Linked DNA regions of Saccharomyces cerevisiae S288C. The protein of the gene in region 1 interacts with the protein of each later gene in a pairwise test. Each region holds a gene or a part of one and is shown on either strand. Other genes may lie near its edges.

Region 1 (5,039 bases):
GAAATATTTTTGACCAAAGGACTAAGTAAGCTTTTTAAGAAGAGAGTATTCGAAGAGCAGGATTTACAGTTTACAAAAGAACTGCTGCGGTTATTATCTTCCGCGTGTATTGATGAGACCATGAGAACGTATATTACAGAAAATTACCTTCAACTATTGGAAAGATCACTAAACGTGGAAGATGTACAAATATATTCTGCATTGGTGTTAGTTAAGACATGGTCTTTCACAAAATTAACGTGTATAAACTTGAAGCAACTGTCCGAAATCTTTATAAACGCTATTTCAAGACGTATCATGCCAAAAATTGAAAATGTCAATGAAAGTGCGGTTAAGCTCGAGGAGGTTCCTAAAGTTGAAATGTCCGTTGAAGCGCTGGCATATTTAAGTCTAAAGGCCTCGGTTAAGATTATGATTAGGAGTAACGAGAGCTTTACTGAAATTCTATTAACTATGATTAAAAGCCAGAAAATGACGCACTGTTTATATGGTCTCTTAGTTATCATGGCAAATTTGTCCACTTTACCAGAGGAATCCAATGGTAGTTCACAGTCTATCAATGACTTAAAAAATTACGCAGATTTGAAGGGCCCAGGCGCAGACAAGGTAGGCGCAGAGAAAGAATCAAAGGAAGATATTCTTTTGTTTAACGAAAAGTACATATTAAGGACCGAGCTGATTTCCTTTTTGAAGAGGGAAATGCACAATTTGAGCCCCAATTGTAAACAACAAGTGGTTAGGGTTATATATAACATAACCCGCTCGAAAAACTTCATTCCTCAATGCATTTCACAAGGTGGTACAACTATCATCTTAGAATATTTGGCCAATAAGCAGGACATAGGGGAGCCAATACGGATTCTAGGGTGTCGGGCATTAACAAGAATGCTAATATTCACTAATCCGGGTTTGATATTTAAAAAATACTCTGCATTAAACGCTATCCCCTTCTTGTTCGAATTGTTGCCAAGGTCTACGCCAGTGGATGACAATCCGTTACATAACGACGAACAAATAAAGCTGACAGACAATTACGAGGCACTATTAGCTCTGACGAACTTGGCATCATCGGAGACCTCTGATGGTGAAGAAGTTTGCAAGCATATCGTATCTACAAAAGTATATTGGTCCACGATTGAGAATCTGATGCTAGACGAAAACGTTCCTTTGCAAAGATCAACATTAGAGCTCATAAGTAATATGATGAGTCATCCATTAACGATTGCTGCTAAGTTCTTTAACTTGGAAAATCCTCAGAGTTTGAGAAATTTTAATATATTGGTGAAACTTCTTCAGTTATCCGACGTTGAGTCTCAACGAGCAGTGGCTGCTATCTTTGCTAACATTGCCACCACGATTCCATTGATAGCTAAGGAACTGTTAACCAAGAAAGAACTAATCGAAAATGCTATTCAGGTATTTGCGGATCAAATTGATGACATTGAGTTAAGACAAAGGTTACTTATGCTTTTTTTTGGATTATTCGAAGTGATACCGGATAATGGCACTAACGAGGTGTATCCGTTGCTGCAAGAAAATCAAAAATTAAAGGATGCTTTAAATATGTCTTTAAAGAGAGGCGATTCAGGACCAGAGTTTTCAGCGGCAATTCCCGTTATCCTTGCTAAAATTAAAGTCTAATATGGAAAGAATCGCCATGTTTAACTCTTCTTAATTTTCACTAAGAAATACAACAGCACCCTGATAATGAACACACAAGAACTATGTAAGATTTTCGTAGCCAGAGAATATCCTCTGGTAGTGGTGCCCTTTATATATTTTGTTCTATTTTTACACCAGAAGTATCACACTACTCTAAATTATGTCTGGTACCCTACGTGTTCTAAAAGAATCTGGGTGAGAGAAAAAGGAAGAAAGTGCTCCTTTTTTTTTTTTTCAAAGGTGCCTCGGTCCGATGGCTTCGCAAACAATAGATGCCAAAGGAAATGATCTTCTCTTTTTCGCTTCTTTATTTTTTTTTAAGTTACGACTTCGTGCAGCCTGGGATGTACCAAGCTTGTTGTTAAACGAGCCTGACTTCTTAATCGCTTAATCTTAGTTGAATTTAGTAGTTCCAGTTTGTATGGCTGCTATTTTTGAGTATTTGGAATCATCTTTCGTTCAGCGATCTTTTTATCATTCACTTTGTCGTTTACAATTAGAAAGCGTCAAAACTTTGCATTTTTCATTTAATAATAACTGAACTCCACCAACTTTTTACTAGCAAGTTGTAAAGTTCATCGGTCAGATAAACATCTTAATTACCTGTGAAATACTCTACTGTTTCTTATGACCAGTATGTCAATTATTGATGATGAGAACGTGAAAAAAACTTCTAATGGGGCAGCTGTTGTCACTGATGTGGCTCAACACGCTGTAAGTGATTCGGACAATAACAAAGCGCAACTTCTAGGCGATGGATCCAACACTGAATATGTGGTTGATATTTTCATTGAAGCCGCTAAGGATGGGGATTTAAAAGTGGTGAAGGACGTGGTCGAAAGTGGAGCAGTGGATATTAATAACGACCGCATTGATGAATTATCCGGCTTACACTGGGCCTGTATAAACAATAGGTTTTCTGTAGCAAAGTTCCTATTACTTAGGGGAGCAAATCCTAACCAGGCGGCAGGCCCCGGAGGGGCTACTGCTTTGCACTGGGCCGCAAGGTACGGTAATATCTACATTGTTGACCTGCTTCTCAAACATGGCGCTGATCCGACGCTCAAAGATGAGCAGGGTCTTAACATCATGCATTTTAGCGTTTACAGTTCTAACATTTTACTTGTTGTTTATGTTCTTTATTTTGTCGTAAACAACAATGACAACGTCGATATCGATTCAAAAGATAACAATAACAGAACACCCCTACTTTGGGCTGCTTATCAAGGAGATTTTCTCACTGTAGAACTTTTATTGAAATTTGGCTCCACAGTTGCATGGACGGACAACAGAGGGTTCAATGCTCTCCATTGTGCTCTAGTTGGAGGTGATCAAAGGGTCATATGTGACTTAATACTTAGCGGTGCAAATTTCTACGAAAGGAATAACCAGAAGCAAGACTGTTTTGATCTAGCCGAAGGAATGGGAACCAAATCACTTTTTGAACAAGCGTTGCAACATCATGGATATGACAGGCTTGGAAATCAGAAAGACAAACTGTTCAAGAAAAGCTCGCATGCACAATTCACAATTTTTTTGTCACCATTTTTACTCATGGTTTACATATACTTAATTTCTCTCGTTCTTTCTCCAGTGCTAGCCATTATGCTTTCCCTACTGGTCACTGTTGTCATGGTCAACACATTAAAGAAGTTTGTATTACCATGCCTTCCCAGAAAAAACACTTACAAAGTTTCTTTGACTAGAACTCCCTTTTTCAGTGGCCTCTTTCTGTCCACTTTCTGTTTTTTAATATATATATGGACGAAGAAACTCTATCCATATAGTGTATCTGACTATACCATGAAAAACGTCCAGTTTTTGGTTACTTCCTTTCTCACAGTTGTACTATTTCTGAGATTAGTACGGTCAGATCCTGGTTGTCTGAAAACGGATGATAGTTTGACTTCGATACAAGAAACAATAAAACAACTGATTGACTTAGGGAAGTTTGATAGGGAAAACTTTTGTGTTGAGACATTAGAAAGGAAGCCTTTGAGGAGTAAATATTCTTTCTTTAGCGGCGCCCTGGTGGCCAGATATGACCATTATTGTCCATGGATTTATAATGATGTTGGCTTAAAAAATCACAAACTTTTTGTCTTCTTTGCTGTGACGGTCCAATATCACATGTTTTTGTTCATGTGGTTATGTCTGGCATATTTTAAGAAAACGAACTATATTTACGAACAAGTTGAAGAATATGCAAGATGTGCCCTGCTCAAGAATGAGACTTTGTGTAAGGGTTCTAATTACGATCCCTCTACCTTTTTTTTATTCATTTGGATTAGCGTAAACTTCATCTGGCTGGGGGCTATGTTGATTGTCCAGTTCTTCCAGATATTAAAAGGAATCACGACTCCTGAATTGTTCATCTTAATCAAGGAGGAGCACAAGGCAAAATTTATCAATCTGATACCCTTCGAAAACTCTATATATACCAGTGAAAGTAAAGGTGTTGAAGATAGTGATATGATTCCTGAAGGTCCAAGTGCGACCACCATTACTCACACAATTTCTATTGATGGTTTGGAACCAAGAAATAGGCGCCGCGCCATTCTTAGCGCTTGCTTTTCAATGATGGGTATTAATCAATGGCTCGTTACTATTAAGGAAATAGTAGGTATAACCCACATTTTGCATGGACAGGTTCCACAACAACATCACAGTTCATTGCTTCGAAGTTTCTTAGTGACAAATCACTGGAAGACGAATTTGACGGATTTTTGGCTTAATAGTGATGTAACAGCGCCCTTGTGGCAACGATTTTTCTATTCTTCGGATACTTCAAAAGCTATGTTGGGTGGAACTGAGGTTGACTACTACGAGCTATACGAATATCCGGCCCGAGAAGGAGAAGTATTACGTCCAAACTAAGTTCGCGTTTTATTTAAATTTTTTTCTTTATAGGGCATTATTTGTACTTTTTTTTCTTACGCGTCTTTAGCAAAGGCGGGAAGTACAATAACTAGTTTTGTGCACAACAAAAATTTGCGTGATTGATAGAAGGCAAAAGGATCTTTCGAGAAATTTGTATTACTGGCCCGTGTAAAAAAACCTTAACAAAAAATATCAGGTCCTTGCTCCTTCAGGTATATCTATATGCTCTCATAGAATTATATTTGATATTGCTTTTTGGACCACATTAAAATAAAAGGAGCTCGAAAAAACTGAAAGGCGTAGAAAGGAATGGGTATCCAAGGTCTTCTTCCTCAGTTAAAGCCCATACAGAATCCAGTATCACTACGTAGGTATGAAGGAGAAGTGTTAGCCATTGATGGCTATGCATGGCTACATAGAGCAGCCTGCTCTTGTGCTTATGAACTTGCAATGGGAAAACCAACTGATAAGTACCTGCAGTTTTTCATAAAAAGATT
Region 2 (3,161 bases), on another chromosome or scaffold:
AGAAGTTTTGATATTTTTTGTAACTGTAATTTCACTCATGCACAAGAAAAAAAAAACTGGATTAAAAGGGAGCCCAAGGAAAACTCCTCAGCATATATTTAGAAGTCTCCTCAGCATATAGTTGTTTGTTTTCTTTACACATTCACTGTTTAATAAAACTTTTATAATATTTCATTATCGGAACTCTAGATTCTATACTTGTTTCCCAATTGTTGCTGGTAGTAAACGTATACGTCATAAAAGGGAAAAGCCACATGCGGAAGAATTTTATGGAAAAAAAAAAAACCTCGAAGTTACTACTTCTAGGGGGCCTATCAAGTAAATTACTCCTGGTACACTGAAGTATATAAGGGATATAGAAGCAAATAGTTGTCAGTGCAATCCTTCAAGACGATTGGGAAAATACTGTAATATAAATCGTAAAGGAAAATTGGAAATTTTTTAAAGATGTCTTCACTGGTTACTCTTAATAACGGTCTGAAAATGCCCCTAGTCGGCTTAGGGTGCTGGAAAATTGACAAAAAAGTCTGTGCGAATCAAATTTATGAAGCTATCAAATTAGGCTACCGTTTATTCGATGGTGCTTGCGACTACGGCAACGAAAAGGAAGTTGGTGAAGGTATCAGGAAAGCCATCTCCGAAGGTCTTGTTTCTAGAAAGGATATATTTGTTGTTTCAAAGTTATGGAACAATTTTCACCATCCTGATCATGTAAAATTAGCTTTAAAGAAGACCTTAAGCGATATGGGACTTGATTATTTAGACCTGTATTATATTCACTTCCCAATCGCCTTCAAATATGTTCCATTTGAAGAGAAATACCCTCCAGGATTCTATACGGGCGCAGATGACGAGAAGAAAGGTCACATCACCGAAGCACATGTACCAATCATAGATACGTACCGGGCTCTGGAAGAATGTGTTGATGAAGGCTTGATTAAGTCTATTGGTGTTTCCAACTTTCAGGGAAGCTTGATTCAAGATTTATTACGTGGTTGTAGAATCAAGCCCGTGGCTTTGCAAATTGAACACCATCCTTATTTGACTCAAGAACACCTAGTTGAGTTTTGTAAATTACACGATATCCAAGTAGTTGCTTACTCCTCCTTCGGTCCTCAATCATTCATTGAGATGGACTTACAGTTGGCAAAAACCACGCCAACTCTGTTCGAGAATGATGTAATCAAGAAGGTCTCACAAAACCATCCAGGCAGTACCACTTCCCAAGTATTGCTTAGATGGGCAACTCAGAGAGGCATTGCCGTCATTCCAAAATCTTCCAAGAAGGAAAGGTTACTTGGCAACCTAGAAATCGAAAAAAAGTTCACTTTAACGGAGCAAGAATTGAAGGATATTTCTGCACTAAATGCCAACATCAGATTTAATGATCCATGGACCTGGTTGGATGGTAAATTCCCCACTTTTGCCTGATCCAGCCAGTAAAATCCATACTCAACGACGATATGAACAAATTTCCCTCATTCCGATGCTGTATATGTGTATAAATTTTTACATGCTCTTCTGTTTAGACACAGAACAGCTTTAAATAAAATGTTGGATATACTTTTTCTGCCTGTGGTGTCATCCACGCTTTTAATTCATCTCTTGTATGGTTGACAATTTGGCTATTTTTTAACAGAACCCAACGGTAATTGAAATTAAAAGGGAAACGAGTGGGGGCGATGAGTGAGTGATACTAAAATAGACACCAAGAGAGCAAAGCGGTCCCAAAATCATTTGAGTAACCGGATATCTATCGGGATATTAATAGCAGCTTCCATTTCAACTAAAACAACAGCAAGATATGAGCGACAAGATATCCTTTCTACCTCCCGAACCCATCCAACTACTTGACGAAGACTCCACGGAGCCTGAACTCGACATTGACTCACAACAAGAAAATGAGGGACCCATCAGTGCGTCAAACAGCAATGATAGCACTAGCCATAGTAATGATTGCGGTGCCACAATTACCAGAACAAGACCTAGACGAAGCAGTTCTATCAATGCAAACTTTAGTTTTCAAAAGGCTCATGTCAGCGATTGCACCATAGTCAATGGCGACCATGGAACAAAGTTTGCTGTCTGGAGAATTACCGTATTTCTTGAACCCAACTTGAAGGCTTTTGCGGCCAAGAGGGAAAGCTATAAAATCCAAACCTATAAACGATACTCCGATTTCGTCAGATTACGAGAGAATTTGCTCACAAGAATCAAGACAGCGAAACCTGAGAAACTTAACTGTTTGCAGATTCCACACCTTCCCCCTTCAGTGCAGTGGTACAGTTCTTGGAAATATCAAGAAGTGAATCTGAACAAGGACTGGCTGGCAAAAAGACAGAGAGGGCTCGAGTACTTCCTCAATCACATCATCCTTAACAGCAGCCTCGTAGAAATGACCAAAGATATACTCATACAGTTTCTAGAGCCTTCAAAACGAGTTGCATAGCTCACCATCCCTATCCAACCGACTATTCTTCTCATCGACTACTACTATCCCATTTAACTCGGGCGCGTTGTTAATTAATCACTCGATGGGGAATGCCTTGAGCTGACCGCAATGAAAACTTTTAGGGGATCGTCCAACATTAAAGGAAGAACGAAACGGACTCCACAGTTTCTAATATAAATAAACAATGATAAAACATATAGTTTCGCCATTCAGGACGAATTTTGTTGGCATCAGCAAGTCCGTGCTGTCAAGGATGATTCATCACAAGGTTACAATCATAGGTTCTGGCCCCGCTGCCCACACCGCTGCTATATACTTGGCAAGAGCAGAGATGAAGCCCACATTATATGAGGGAATGATGGCCAACGGAATTGCTGCTGGTGGCCAATTGACAACAACCACCGATATCGAAAATTTCCCAGGGTTTCCTGAATCGTTGAGTGGCAGTGAACTGATGGAGAGGATGAGGAAACAATCTGCCAAGTTTGGCACTAACATAATTACCGAGACTGTCTCTAAAGTCGATTTATCTTCAAAACCATTCAGATTATGGACCGAATTTAATGAGGATGCAGAGCCTGTGACCACTGATGCTATAATCTTGGCCACGGGTGCTTCCGCTAAGAGAATGCATTTACCAGGGGAGGAAACCTACTGGCAGCAGGGAATATCTGCCTGTGCTGTATGTGATGGTGCAGTCCCTATCTTT

What was found.
Region 2: the proteins of AKR2 (region 1) and YPT35 interact in a two-hybrid assay, tested with the Saccharomyces cerevisiae proteins (2 studies listed by BioGRID).

The regions. Positions count from the first base shown.
Region 1 is NC_001147.6:394,337-399,375, reverse strand, and holds AKR2 (putative palmitoyltransferase AKR2), read left to right. Parts: upstream 1-2,289; coding exon 2,290-4,539; downstream 4,540-5,039. Other genes in the region: SHE4 (She4p), read left to right, coding at 1-1,641; YOR034C-A (uncharacterized protein), read left to right, coding at 1,708-1,950; Rad2 family nuclease EXO1, read left to right, coding at 4,852-5,039.
Region 2 is NC_001140.6:322,962-326,122, forward strand, and holds YPT35 (Ypt35p), read left to right. Parts: upstream 1-1,804; coding exon 1,805-2,449; downstream 2,450-3,161. Other genes in the region: SBE22 (Sbe22p), read left to right, coding at 1-11; GRE3 (trifunctional aldehyde reductase/xylose reductase/glucose 1-dehydrogenase (NADP(+))), read left to right, coding at 448-1,431; thioredoxin-disulfide reductase TRR2, read left to right, coding at 2,637-3,161.